Linked DNA regions of Rhinolophus ferrumequinum. The protein of the gene in region 1 interacts with the protein of each later gene in a pairwise test. Links are inferred from orthologs where the notes say so. Each region holds a gene or a part of one and is shown in the gene's direction. Other genes may lie near its edges.

The links.
Region 2: the proteins of SSC5D (region 1) and SEC23IP interact in binary tests that used the Homo sapiens proteins (3 or more experiments, as listed by UniProt). The two-hybrid records come from large-scale screens. The link is inferred for Rhinolophus ferrumequinum from reciprocal best matches to the Homo sapiens genes SSC5D and SEC23IP.

Annotation. Positions count from the first base shown.
Region 1 is NC_046298.1:48,596,713-48,603,814, forward strand, and holds the start of SSC5D (soluble scavenger receptor cysteine-rich domain-containing protein SSC5D), read left to right. Parts: upstream 1-3,952; 5' UTR 3,953-4,086; coding exon 4,087-4,111; intron 4,112-4,610; coding exon 4,611-4,637; intron 4,638-4,947; coding exon 4,948-5,256; intron 5,257-5,421; coding exon 5,422-5,541; intron 5,542-5,728; coding exon 5,729-5,842; intron 5,843-6,139; coding exon 6,140-6,448; intron 6,449-7,102. Other genes in the region: ZNF628 (zinc finger protein 628), read left to right, coding at 1-5; NAT14 (probable N-acetyltransferase 14), read left to right, coding at 1,344-1,415, 2,039-2,587.
Region 2 is NC_046299.1:9,622,346-9,629,560, reverse strand, and holds the start of SEC23IP (SEC23-interacting protein), read left to right. Parts: upstream 1-4,023; 5' UTR 4,024-4,116; coding exon 4,117-4,279; intron 4,280-7,215. UniProt on the Homo sapiens protein: Plays a role in the organization of endoplasmic reticulum exit sites. Specifically binds to phosphatidylinositol 3-phosphate (PI(3)P), phosphatidylinositol 4-phosphate (PI(4)P) and phosphatidylinositol 5-phosphate (PI(5)P).

The DNA of each region.
Region 1 (7,102 bases):
TTTGAGTAGAACCACTGGTACCTCTTCCTGCCCCACAGAGACCCAGACTCTGTCTGCTTGGGCTGAACTGGGGGCAGGAGAGCTGCAGGCTGGGCTTCTAATAAAGACCAGAATCTCCTCTCCTGTGTTTTGTTTTCTTGGGGTGGGGGAGGGCAACGTCATGGCCATAGCAACTGCTTGGGAGCTTGGAGTCTCATCTCTTGCATCCTGGCTCGCAGTTGAGTTGCTTGGGGGCCAGCCACTTCTACGTGGGGCTCTGTTTACTATTAAAAAGGGGATGCAGTGGTCACTAGAGTGGGGAGATGTGGAATTTAGAATCCTGCTCTGCCACCTGTTCACTGTAACTCCACCTCTCCCCTCATTTGAAAAGTCTGTGGTGGGGGGAGGGGAATGCTTGTCCCGAAGGTCACTGAGCCCGGTGGGTTGGGACGGAGGTCCCTGGGGTGAGCCAGTTTGGGAGCTGGTGGGCTCAGGATGCTGAAGCGGCCCCTCCCACGAAGCCCTGGGCACCAATGAGAATTGATTCTCTCCTATCACCGCCCCCACCCGGCACTCAGGTTGCTTAGCAACCAGGGAACCTCGAAAAGCGAGCGTGCGCACCCCCTCAACTGGCCGGTAAGTACAGCTCCCAGCTCCCACCCCGCCAGCGTCTGCTACTCCCGCCGCTGTCGTCTTACGGGTCCCCTTTCTCCATCGCTCTTTCGCTCCCTACCCCACATCCAGCAGAGTCCCTGCGCCCTGCCCTAGCCCCTCCTCAACCCCCTGCCAAGCTTGGCAACAGTTAAGACCGAATGCAGGCACCACACTGCACCGCCTCCAACGTGCGCGGTCTGACGTCACTTCCGCCGGCGACCCCTTTCCTGACCCTGTCCTCCCTCCCCATACCTTGTCAAAGAATCGGAGCCACCGCAGAGGTGTTTGTAGGTTCTTGCTCCAGCAGCGACTGTGGGGCGGGACGCTTGGGTTTGGGGAGCTTGGTCCATTACCTGGCCTTGGGGTGGGGGTTCGATGACCTCCCCCTGTAGAAGCCCCGGAGCCTGGAAGGGGGCCCTGTATAGCCAGGTGTTGGTGTCTGCAAGGTATTTAGGGTAAGATCGCTGAACACCACGGGTTGGGGGAGTGAGACCTCAGGAGACGTTAGGAAGGTGGCTGGGTGAAGGGGGCAGCCTGTCCTGCGTGGGATCTCGCTTGGGGCATCCCAAGCATCCTCACTGTCCTCATCTGATACATGCTGCTGCTGGTCCCCACCCCTGGGGCTCTTGGAGACCAGAGGTGCCCTCCTGACGTTGATCTGCTTGTTTTCACCAGGTGCACGCCTGCTCCCTGGGGGCACGGGGACTGCCATGGCCCCCAGCCACCTTTCAGTGCGGGAGATGAGAGAAGATGAGAAGCCCCTGGTGCTGGAGATGCTGAAGGTGAGTACAGCAGGGGCACCTGGGGGTAGGGGCAGCACGGTGAGCCAGCTTTTCCTTCGAAGCCACTTCTGGCTTGGCCCCTTCTCCCTCTAGTGCCTTCTGCCTACCCCTGCGGTCAGGAGGGTTTTAATGCTGGAGGGCTGTGGGGTCTGTCTCCTCCCCGACACTCCTCAGAGCAGAGCCTGGGTCTCAGCCCTGTACTCATCCTCTGCTCCAGCAACAGAGCATGCCCATTTTCTGGCCGGGGGGCAGTCGCCCATTTTCTGGCCGGGGGGCAGTCGCCCATTTTGGTCTGATCTCAATCTTCCCTGGTGCCTCCCGCACATTCTTCTCCTGAATTGGGTGTCCTCACAGTTCCTAATTCATTCACTCATTCTCTCACTCATTCATTCACTCATTCAAAGCCCAGTGTGCCAGATGTAGTGTTTGCTGGTGCACAGAGCAGATGTGGTCCAGGCCCTGCCTGTCCTTCTACCACAGGCCCAGTCCCTTTTCCTTTGGGAGCCCCCACCCTGAGTCCCTCCTGGGTAGGGTCTTCTCCCTCTCCTTGTTCCTGGTGTTCACGGGGGCCCTCGCTGATGGGAGGCCCAGTCCCCTGCTCTGACTGCGCCTCCTACCCACAGGCTGCTGTGAAGGATACGGAGAACCGAGTGGCCCTCCACGCCCTGACACGGCCGCCTGCGCTGCTGCTCCTGGCGGCCGCCAGCAGCGGCCTGCGCTTCGTGCTGGCCTCCTTTGCCCTGGCCCTCCTCCTGCCTGTGTTCCTGGCTGTGGTGGCCATGAAGCTCGGCCTGCGTGCCCGGTGGGGCTCGCTGCCTCCACCAGGTGGCCTAGGGGGGCCCTGGGTGGCAGTGCGCGGCTCAGGTGATGTGTGTGGGGTCCTGGCCCTGGCCCCAGGCTCTAACTCTGGGGATGGGGCCCGGGTCACTCGCCTCTCTGTCTCCCGCTGGCACCGCCGCCGAGGCGTGGGCAGGCGGCTGCTGGCCTTTGCCGAGTCCCGGGCACGTGCCTGGGCAGGGGGTATGGGGGAGCCCCAGGCCCGCCTCGTGGTCCCAGTGGCTGTGGCGGCTTGGGGCGTGGCAGGGATGCTGGAAGGCTGCGGCTACCAGGCTGAGGGGAGCTGGGGCTGCATGGGCTACACACTGGTAAGGGAGTTCAGCAAGAACCTGTGACTCCAACGTACGCACCTACTGTGTGCGGGCACTTTCACATTCTCCCTGTGCGAATCCCCAGCCTGCCCAGGGCCCAGAAACTGAGGCCTGCAGAGGGAAAGACAGCCTGAGGTCTGAGGTCTGTCTTTCGTGTCTGAATTTCTCAGAGTGGTCAACCTATCTGGCCTCCTGCCTCAGATTCTGTCTGCACTGAGACATCTCCCCAGTCTGTCTCTGCAAAGCCTGCACCGTTTGTGGTACCAGCCTGGGTGACAGAGAGGAGGAAAGGAGTCTGAGCAAGTGTGCCTCCCCAAGGGTTAGGAGTTGGGGCAGGGACACCCCAAACTGGGATGAGGCCCCCACCATGAATGGGGTGGGGTTTGATGCCTGTGCTTGGAGAGGATGAGTCTGGAGCCAGAGGGGATGAGCAGAGCCTCTGCGAGGAGGGTTGTCTCCTAGAGAGGCCCTGCAAGGAGGGGGTGGGCACAGGAAGGCCGGCGGCCCCTCCCTGGGGGAAAGGGACTGCTAAGAAGGGTGGCCAGACCTGTCTGGTGTTTTTATACCCGATTGTTAATAAAGCCTGAAACTGCTCTGCGCCTGGCTTGCTCTCTCTCTGATGCCTTTTCCAGTCTGTCTTGGAATCCCTCCTTCAGTCTGGCTCCTCCTTTCCTGAGTTGACATTAATTGGTGGTGGTGGTGCTGGCTCAGGAGAAAGGGAGGCATGAGCTCACGGCAGCCTCGCTCCTAGCCAGCCCTCTGACTCACGCTCCCCATTACCGAGGTTTTCCGCCTCCCAGCTGCCTGGTGCCCAGAGAGTGAGTGTGTGTGCACATTCAGTCACCTCTAGCACCCAGGCCTTGACCTGAGGTCTGCCCAGTTCCCCACCCCAGTTGCCTCGGGGTTGGGGGACATATAAGTTCAACCACTTCTCCCTCAGATGGGGGGCTTTGCATCCAACTCCACGCTGGGGAACAGAGTCTCCTTTCCCAATCTAGGAAGTCCTTCCTGGTGTCTGGCTGGAAGCCTCTTGCTGCTGAACCTTGATCCCCAGCTGTGCCAGGTCTCAAAGGCCCACAGCTCCTGTGAATCTACCCTCTAGCCCCTACACCCTGGTCCAATCCACATTTTCCTGCTTGGATAAGAGAGGAAGCAGACGGGTGGGTGCCTCGCCCATGTCGTCCCTTCCCTGAAGCCTGCCCTCCGTCCTCTAAGCATCTCTACGCCCCGCATGCCTGGCTGGCCTGTGTGGGTGTTTGCAGTTGGACATCCTCCCTCCAGCCCGCCACCCCCCTCCCCCCCCAGGCCTCAGCCGCTGGCCAGCCCCCTCCCCGCCCCCCTCCTGTCCCCTGCTGCCTCCTCGGCAGCCTTTCTTGCTCCTGGCAAAGCGTCTAGCTCCTGCCTGCTCCTCCCGGGTCCAGGGCGCTTCAGCAGGCGCTTCCCCCCTCCCTCCAGTGGCGGCTGCCTTCTGCCCTCTCCTGATCCTCCCCTCTCACCCCATCTTTGCCCTGGACTCTGCAAACATGAGGGTCTTGGCCTGCCTCCTCGGTGAGTGACCCATTCTCCTTGGGGACTCGGGGGCCTGGGCCCCACCCTCTGACCCCTGAGCTCCTGCAATTGAGGGGCCCATTCTTCCAGGGCCCATTCCTGGTGCTTGGGGACACAGGACATCTGCCCTCCCTACCTGACCGCCCAGGGACCCAGCCTTCTATATGCCAGTCCCACCCTCTTAGGAGGCCCAGCGACCTACTCATCCCCACCACCAGGCTTGACCCTTTGGGGGGGTCACACACAATTTGACCTTTAGCCAGGCCTCTCTCTGGGGGAGCACAAGGGCCTGGTCCCCAGCCCTGACCTGTTGCATCTGGGGTCCTGCCCCTCCACCCTCGAGTCCTGCTTTCTTCCCAGTAGGGGTTTCTGGTTCAGAGGTGCAAGGATGTGTGTGTGTGTGTGAGTGTGTGCGCGTGCGCGCGCTGGGGTCAAGACTGGGGAAGGGACCCCTGGACCTGCCCCTCACTGTGTCCCACCCCTCCAACCTCCCTTCCAGTGGCTCTGATGGGGATCCAGGCTGTTGGTAAGTGTCCCCAAACACTCCTCTGTCTGGCCTCACCCAGCTCCAAGCCCATCCCATTCCCAGCCTCGCCCTCCCCTGGGATCCTGGCCACCTACCATCTGGTGATGACCTCAGGCACCATTCCCCCAGAACTACCGCGGCAGTCAGCCACCCGCTTCCTGCAGGGACCAGGGTCTCTCACCACTACTTTCCTGGACCCCAGGCTTTGGGGTACCCACCAGCAACAGGATACTGGCCTAGTCGCACTCTGGAGGGCTACCCTTTGCCCCAGGGCTTCCAGGATGTCACACCCTTTCCTCCGTTCCCCCAGAGCGGTTGCGGCTGGCCGATGGCCCCCACGGGTGCGCGGGCCGGCTGGAAGTGTGGCACAGTGGGCGCTGGGGGACGGTGTGCGATGACGGATGGGACCTGCGGGACGCCGCAGTCGCCTGCCGGGAGCTGGGCTGCGGGGCGGCACTGGCCGCCCCCGGAGGTGCCTTCTTTGGGGAGGGTGCAGGTCCCGTGTGGCTGAGTGAGCTGGCCTGCCGGGGCGGCGAGGGGCAGCTGGGCCTGTGCCCCCACCGAGGGTGGAAGGCCCACGTCTGTTCCCATGAAGAGGATGCAGGCGTTGTCTGTGCAGGTAAGGACCCCAAATCCTCAGCCCAGTCACTCTGAGGGTCTAGAAGTCCCAACATTCCCTCCAGAGCCAGGGGTCTTCCTCCAGGACCCCAACTTATCACTGCCCAGGGATCCTGGCCCAGCCTCTCCCAGGGCCCACCCTCTGGAGCTCCCCTGCTCTCCGCAGGTCAGCGTGTGGCTAACTCGAGGGACATGGACGGTTCACCTTCGTTCCTGGATGGGGACCCCTGGCAGGGGCTGTCTGGGGAGCTGAGTCCCAGCTCTGAGGAGCCCCCTGTGACACACAGTGAGCCCACCCACCCATGTCCCCTCCTGCTTCAACCGTGGGGGAGAGGGGCCTTCCACATTCATGTTGCCCAGGGGGCAGACAGATGCCCATCTCCTCGCCAACCCCGAGGGTCCTGGCTCAGCCCCCCAGGCAGGAGTAGGGTTGAGCGGCTCCCTCCCACCCTCCTTACTGTCTCTTCTTCCAGCCCCCCGCCCAGCTGGGACCCCCCAGAGCAGCTCCCGGAAGAAAAGCCCCCGGCCTCCCAAGCAGGCCAAGTCCACCAGAGCCCCTGCACTGATGGCTGGAGCCCCACACCACGGTAAGTTCCTTGCAGGCCTCCCCTCTGCAGATCTGGACCAGCTTGGGCCCCCTGCGTGTCCTCCTGAGTCAGGCCTGGTCCCCCACCCCACCCCACCCGGTCAGGGAACCCAAGTGTCTGTTTCGAGCACCCAGGCACCCTGCCCCACTTACATTCTCACTCTCCCTGTAATGGCCAGGCTGGCAGATCTCAGGCCACTGCCCTCTCCAGGCCTCAGTTTCCCTAGATGGAAAACGAGGGGTGTTTAAATCCACTTATCCCGGCTGCTTCACACAAGGCTCCTGTCCATCCCCACAGAGCGGCTGCGCCTGGCCTCGGGCCCCCACGGTTGTGCAGGTCGGCTGGAGGTGTGGCACGGTGGGCGCTGGGGGACGGTGTGTGACGACGGATGGGACCTGCGTGACGCAGCTGTGGCCTGCCGGGAGCTGGGCTGCGGGGGGGCACTGGCTGCCCCAGGAGGGGCCCGATTTGGCCCAGGCTCAGGGCCTGTGTGGATGGATGATGTGGGGTGCGGAGGTGGAGAGCAGGCCCTGAGGGACTGTCCCCGGAGCCCTTGGGGTCGGAGCAACTGTGACCACAGCGAGGACGCAGGGCTGGTCTGCACAGGTGCGTTTCTTCCCTGGGCCTGGATCTGCCCACAGCACAGTGGCATCTGCAGTGTCTCCCTGGGTGTCTGAAGCATAGTGTGCAGAGGAGCACAGAGCTGGGGGCCAGGGACAGTGAGGGGTCCCTCCATGTGCCACAGGGTGGGAAGCACGTGGGGCCCAGTTCCTGGGAGATAAGTTGAGGCTTCAGAGAGGGTTACATTGTCGGGGAGAAGTGAACCCCACTGAGGTGCCCGGGGGAGCTCAATGCCTTAAGATCTTTAATACTTCAGTGCGACCCTGTAGGGGAGGGCCTGTCATTTCCGAGGAGAAGTAAGTGCAGGCATTTCTGGCCTCTCTCTGGCCTGCAGTTCCGCCTCCCTGCATACTGACTGGTAGAGAGATGGATTCCACATTCCCCCAGTGGCATCTCAGCTTTTATTCCAGAAAGACCCAACAGAAATGAACCCTAAAACTGACGAGAGGTCTAGACTAGTGGTTTTCCACGTGGGGTGATGAACAATTATCCCATTCCCCAGGGGACATCTGCAAATCCTGGAGACATTCTTGGTTGTCACAACTGTGGGTGCTCCTCGCATCTGGGGGGTGGAGCAGATGTCCTGGACCAGGCCCAGGGCAGCCTCACAGACAAGGATGTTCCGTCCCAGATGTCAGC
Region 2 (7,215 bases), on another chromosome or scaffold:
CTTGTTTCTTTGTTGCCAATCCTCTTATCCCTCTGAAGATATCATTGGTAGACATTTTAATGTTTTTGTCTTCCTGTGTGGGCTGTTTTTTTCTAAGTTATCATTTCCTATTCCTTTTGTGTGTGTCTTGTTTTGCTCTCTTGTTTTGATCTCATGTTAAAGGATCTTCTCAACTGTGATGATCATGTTTAAAGTGTGGAGACTAAGAAGGTGATTGGGAGCTCAGAGCATATAAATGGGCCTTTTTGTGTGTGTGTTTGTGTGAGTTAATTGTTGAAACAGAGTGAAATGCTTGGCCTCTCTGACTCCATCTTGTTCAAGCCTGCTTTATTCCCAGGCCCTTCAGGCTAATAGCTTCTGCTTAGGCTTGCATATAGCCATGCTAATAGAGGAATTCTGCTTGTGACTTGAGTTACACAAAAACAGTCCCTTACCAGAAGGTAGGTGCCTCTCCAGAGGAGATAAGAGAAGGAGGTAAAAAAAAAAAAAAAAAAGATTGTTTATCAAAGATATGCAGGGACCTCATGACTGGACTCACATCAACTAGCACAATCTTCCTTGGTCCCCTGCTGGTGCTCAGATGTCTGCAGTGGTCAGTCACCTCTTGCTTCTCCCATTTCCCCTTCCCTTGACATAAAAGAAACCTGAACTCTGTACTTTCTTACAATGAACTTGAAGTACCACTAGATCTCCTACTTTGTTTGGCGCCTTCTCAATCAATAAATCTTTCCTTACTCCAAACTCGGACGTTTTGCATTTTGGCCTTTTGAAGCGTTGAGTACACGGACTTTGGACCAGAAACGCTGTCAGATAAATCTTTCATAGAAACAGGAATGTATCAAGTGGGTCATCATAGTAGGAAAAAATTTAAAAATGTAAGTTTGTACATGTTGCTTTATTTCCATTCGGGAGCTGGCTTTCCCCACATCAGGCTCAGCAGCTGCACTTGTCCGATGCCCCTCTGCAGATGCAGTCCTGGGCACACCCGGCACAACACATGGGCCAACAGGGGCAGCAACTCTAATTGCAGGAAGTGCATTTGTACTCTTCATTTGCAGGAGCCAGTGCAGGTGCAAGAGCCACCAGTGCAGATGCAAGAGCCACCAATTGGAGCAGAAGCAGTTGGAGTTCATTTCGAGCTGAATGAGGCCGAAAGCCCAAAGCAAGTGGCGAAGAAGTACTTGGGGTAGTAGAAGTTGTGTTCTGGGGCTTGATGATTGTGAGCTTAATCATGGGGTGATCTGGCTGGTCTGTCTTATTGAGAAACCCTGATTTCAGTATCTCCAGATCTTTTGGTCACAAGACCCAAACAAGATTCTTCGAATTTCCTGCCTAGATATTGCAGACCAGGCAGTTAGTGTTCTTGGAGCTGAGTAGAGCAATTGGGCTGGGGTTGTGAGAGTAATTGTTTTATTATTCAGTATGTACATATTTGCTTAATCTTCCTCTTGTTTTACTCTCTCCAGAAGGGAAAAATTACAGTCTTTTTCCTAGAAGGGGGATGGTCAGAAGTCCAGTCACTCAAGCAGGGAAGGGGACCTAACTGCTTCTTAAACAGTTTTAATCGATCCTCCTGATTATAGGACTTCTCTCTTCCCCTTCACTGCCACTGCCAGAGGTGCCTGCGGTTATCAGGTCCTGTAACTTTTGGTGATTGTATGGTGCCAATCAAGTTGCCTTGGAGTTTTCCCATTACTGGTTTTCTAAATCATCTAGTACTTGTCCATTTTTGGGGGGCCTTCCAAAATGTTGCCGTAGTAGCCGCTCCCCTTCTCTTCATCTTTATGAACTTACGCTTAAAAATACCAAATGAACCCATTTGTATTTTCAACAATTTCAGGAGGGAAAACAATGAAGCTACATCTATTCGATCTGACATCTTTCTCCAGAATTACTATTTCTGTTTATTCCTGTCATCACTCTAATTTGAGCCACCATCATTGCTCAGCTGATTCACTGCAGCAGCCTGCCAACTGCTCGTCCTACTTCCAGGCTTGCTCTTTCCTTATCTGTTTTATTACACTGAAGTCAGAGTGGACTTTCTACAGAGCAAATGTTATTATTTCTCCACCCTACTTTGACTCCCTTTTGTTCTTAACTTGTAAGATCCTGCATCATCTGGCCTTGATCCACTTTTTATCTCATCTCCCAACTTTCTCCCTGTTGCTCACTGGGCTCCAGCCATACTCTAACCTATGTTTCTCTTAACACCCAAAGCTGGCATCTCAGGGTATCCCTACACACTGCAACTTTATCTGAAAATGTCTCTTACCACTGCCTCCAACCCCTCCTCCCCAAGCTTTTCCCGTTAATTGCTACTAATTGTCTTTCAGGTATTAACTTTAATTTTTCTTCTTCAGGGAAGCTTTTTGTGTTACTAGGTAGGTCCTCTGTTGATGGTCTGATTGTTGGAATACTTGCTATTGCTCCCCATAGAAGGGTTATACCTCCCTCCCCTGATGGTATCAATATTCCATATAATACACTTTGGGAAATTCTACATTGTAACTTCCATCACACTTTATTATTATGTGTTTAGGTGTCTGTCTTTCTGACAGACAAGGCAATATCCAAGAAGGAAGGGTCCTGTGTCCTTAGATACCATGGTACCCCCACTGTTTAGTATATTGCCTTGCCCACCCGTAGTAATGACAAAGACTCTCCTTGGCCAAACTCTAGTATGGCTTCTAGCAACTTAAGGTCATGTGTCTAGGATGATCCCTACCCCACTTAAAATGCCTGCCTGAGAAAGCTCTACACAGCCAGAATTGACTGTTCCGGCCAAAACCCGGTGATAGGCATAGTCTCCTGAGCCCCTTCTAAAAGCAGTTACTTTAGAAAGTTTGCAATTATAAATACTTTCTCTGCCCCTGAGATCTTCATCTTCTGTCACCCAGAACTATGTTCTCAAGGACCAGAGAGCTGTCTCCTCCCAGCCTGGTGGGTACCTTGCTCTGACTTATACCACTGCCTGTCATAAAGATAAAAGTTTGTTGCTCCTTAAGATAAGTGCCAGTTAACAAACTCAGGTGGCCTAGTCACATGGGGTAACACCCTTGAGTACCTTTGCCTTACAGTCTTTAAAAAGTTTCTCGTCTTTCGTTTTGCTTAGTTCATGTTGTACCCTCTTCCTATTGCAATAATTAGTACTGAACAAAATCTATCCTTAATGCTTTAATTAGTACCTGGCATTATCTGACAGTAAGCACACTAAATAGTTATTGAATTAAGTAATAAACAGGTTCTATATGGGTGTGAACAGCTGTGGGGGGGTGTGTGTGTCATAATTTCAAAACTTCTTTTGAGGTCTCATATCTGCCTCTCCCACTTTGCAAGAAGGTGCTTATCTGTTATTTTTTCTTTCATAATCTCTATATGAAAAATGACAATTAGACCCACATTATCCACAGTGCATTTTGAGACTGAACTAGTCAGATTCTTGTAGACAGATACAGAAAGGTATTTAAAACGTCACATCCCTAAATTTCAATTACCTGGTTTCTCTTTTAAACAATTTTTTTTTTCATTTATGGCTTTAAAGCTTAAAAAGTTTTACCATTTCTTCTCTGGGCCAACGACAAGAGTTCAATTCAGTCCAGAAAGACATGTAGATGCTAGAGTGGGTGAGTTTGTCTAGGCTTTGGCTGCAAGTGGCCCACACTCCTCTGTCTGTGGGCAGCACTCTGCTACCCGCTCCTGCGGGCTTCCGCCAGTCCTCCAAAATCTTGGCCAGGTAAAAGCTCCTGTCCGCACTGTTAGGAAGCCCAGAGCGCCCTCGCAATCCGTGACTTTCAGAGTCCACTCGTTCCTTGATTCAGAACCAGGAGACTTCCTCTCCCACGTTCCTGCCCGAGCCTCCGCCTCCGACTCCGCTTCCAACCGTGCCTGGGAAGCGGCTGCGAGTGTCACGTGCTAGGACTCGGGAGTGAAGCTGGCGCCGCCATGTTAATTTCAGGCGGCGCCAACACGGACTGGGGGAGGGCCGCCGACCAGCGCCCGGAGTTCCGACCCTTGTGCGCAAGTGCGGAAGTGTGCTGGCCCCGAGTGTGACTGGTTTCCGTCCGGCGGTGCCGCTCCGGCTTCCCCGAGACGTGTAACGGACGGTGGGCCGCAACCATGGCTGAGAGGAAACCAAACGGTGGCGGCGGTGCCACCTCCATCTCCTCGTCCGGCACTAATTTACTCTTCTCATCCTCGGCCACGGAGTTCAGCTTCAATGTGCCCTTCATCCCAGTCACCCAAGCCGCCGCTGCCTCGGCCTCCTTGCTGCTGCCCGGAGGTAGTTGGTGGGGCCAGTGTTTGCGGGGAGGCGGGCAGGGGGGCGGGGGGTGACGAGGGTGGGGCTGGAGGTTTTTCTTCTGCCTTGATCCGACCCTCTGGGTAGATTGCTAGAGCTGTCTGTGGCCACGTTTGAGTGGTCTGGGTGCTTTGGGATCTTGGAGGCAGGGGCCAGGATATAAGGCTTGCTCTCCGTTGAAGGACCCCTCTGTTTCGCGTGCTGGACACTGCTGCGCTGACATCCCACAAGTTTTTGTTGAACACTTACTGGTGTGCCAGTACTTGCAGAGAATGCAAATAAATTAGGCAGTGCTCCCTCTTCTAAAACACAGTAGGGGATCTCCTAGGATATAATGGGATCTCTCCTAGGATAGACATGTAATATTTGCAAAGTAGAGGTACATAATGCAATTCTTATCTTTCAAGACGGTGCATTCTCTCCTCTAAGAAGCTGTTCCTTGTTCTCTTAGGTTCCCACTCCTATGTGCACCATAGCTCCTTGTTCATATTTTTGTTATTATAGGACGATTGCTTTTTAATGATAGTGTGGCATAACTCAGAGCATGGTGTTTAGAAGCTGAAACTGTGTTCCAGCCCTGGCCCTGCCAGTGACTTGCTGTGTGACCTCAGGCATGCTACTTTACCTCTCTGTGCTTCAGTTTCCATATATGTGCAGCCTCATAGGGCTGTAATGAGAAGTGAATTAATTTTTGTAAAGCACTAAGTATGGTGCCTTATATAACGGCACAAAGCCGTTATATAAATGTTTATGAAATAAACACATCTGCCTCTCTGTTTTGACTGTGGGCTTCTTGAGGTTGGTAGCTGTGAGTTCTTTACCTTTTTATTTCCAGGATCTTTAGTGTCTGTCTAGCACATAGATGCTCAGTAAATGCTGAATATTTTTCCAATGAATAATTTATTCTTGCTTGTAGGACTAAGGAAAGTTTCACAGAGAAGTGAAGAAAGGCAAACTGGAGGCCATTGTACGCGCAGATTTCCTTTCCCTTCTGTTATGTGTTTTGGTGTGTACACCTGACATGTACACACATATTTGTTTATCTTATCCCACTAGAATATAAGCTCCATGAGAGCAGGAACTTATATCTAGAACAGTGCCTGGTCTGCTGTAGACCAGTTCTTCCGTATATCCTTGTTGAATTGAAAGGATGAAGTCAGGAATATGGATGTCTCATTTTGACAGTGGGCATTGCCATTTTTAGTGAAGGACTACCATGGCTGGAGCAGAGTGCTGTGGGAGGTTGCAGGAGTAAATGAGGTCACACATGGAGCTTTCCTGTCGCCTTCTGCTTCACAAATGTGTGGTTCATGCCCATCGTCCTTGCTATACAGCATTTGGTGTGTGTGTGCCACTGTCAATCAGTGCTAATAAGCATTTTCATTGTTGACTACAGGATAAGTACACCTTCCTTATTTTAATTTTATTTTTTTACTTTTATTGAGGAATATTGGGGACCTGTGTGTTTCTCCAGGGCCCATCAGCTCCAAGTCGTTGTCCTTCAATCTAGTTGCGGAGGGCGCAGCTCACGTGGGAATCGAATCAGCAACCCTGTTGTTTACAGCTCACGCTCTAACCAACTGCGCCATCAGGCCACCCGCAGGAGATAGCTTATTTTTTAACGAGAAAATTAATCATGTTAGAGCTAAAATTCTGTGACAATTATTTTTCCACGTCTATAAAAGATTAGTCCATTTGAAACCCATTCAGAGAATTTCCAGAGACAAAAGAAGAACCTGTCTCACTGGAAGCAATAGTTAGTCATTTCAGGGAAGGAGACACATAGGAAGCAGTTTCATTCATTCATCTGACATGGGTTGGGCGGCTTGTGTTTGCCAGGCCCTATTCCCGAAGAGCAGAGCGTTGCCCTCACTGACTGCTCAGTATGCGTACACACACTACTCAACTGTGCAAGCAGTTGTGATGCAGGTTTATAAAGCTGGGGGCAGGGATTGATAGGCTGCTGTGAAAGCTGTGGGTTTCAGGCTGGTGACCTGGGAGAGGACGTCGCTCTGGCCTTCAGGGCCTCGCGGAGAAGGTGATTCTTGAGCTCAGTGTTGAAGGGTACACAGAAATTAGGGTGTCTTGAGCTAGGCATATGTAAAAGTCTGAGGTCTGAGAAAACCTACAGATTTGGTGGTAGGTGCTCACATTCCCCCTTCCCTCCCCTCCCCTCCCTTCTCCTCTCCTCTCCCCTTCTCTCTCTGTCTCTCCCCCTTCTCCCCTCCCTCAGTAGATCATTGTGACTAGAGTGTGTGCAGGGGAGTGGCTTGAGTGGTCAGCTCACCAAGGGCCTCAGATAACGTACTGAGAAGTTTGTAGTTATCCTCTGGCGGGTGGGGGAGGCTTTGAAGGATTTTAAACAAGGCAGTGAAATTCGAAGTGTGTTTCGGAAAGACCCGGGTTGTCTGAGATTGCACTGGAGTAAACGCCTACGGTCGCCAGAGCAGTCAGTCTGGATGCCATTGTGAGTCAGCCAGGAGTGAATGCCACTCTAGCCCTCGTCAGCCACACTGGGTGTGAAGAGCAGGGACCAAATGTGAGATTTTTTGACAATAAAATTGTTGGGACTTAGTGTCTCACTGGAGGCCAGACTATCTCGGCTCTGTCAGCACAGCGTCCCCCTCTGCTCATTCAGTTTTAGCCCCAAGACCTAGCTCTGTGCCTGGCATATGATGGATACTGTGTATGTATTTCTTTTTTTGGGTATTTTATTGTGTACATATTTCTTGAAGGAAGATCTGAGTGATTAAATGAAGGGTATGAGAAAAAGGGAGGAGTCTGAGAAGTGAGGTTTCTGGTTGGAGCGGATGGACGGATGTTGTAAACATCTGTTGAGATAACTCAGGTGTGGTAAAAGGAGCACGTGGAGGGGACAGAGAAGATGGTAAGTTCCCTTACCAAGTTTGAGGTATACA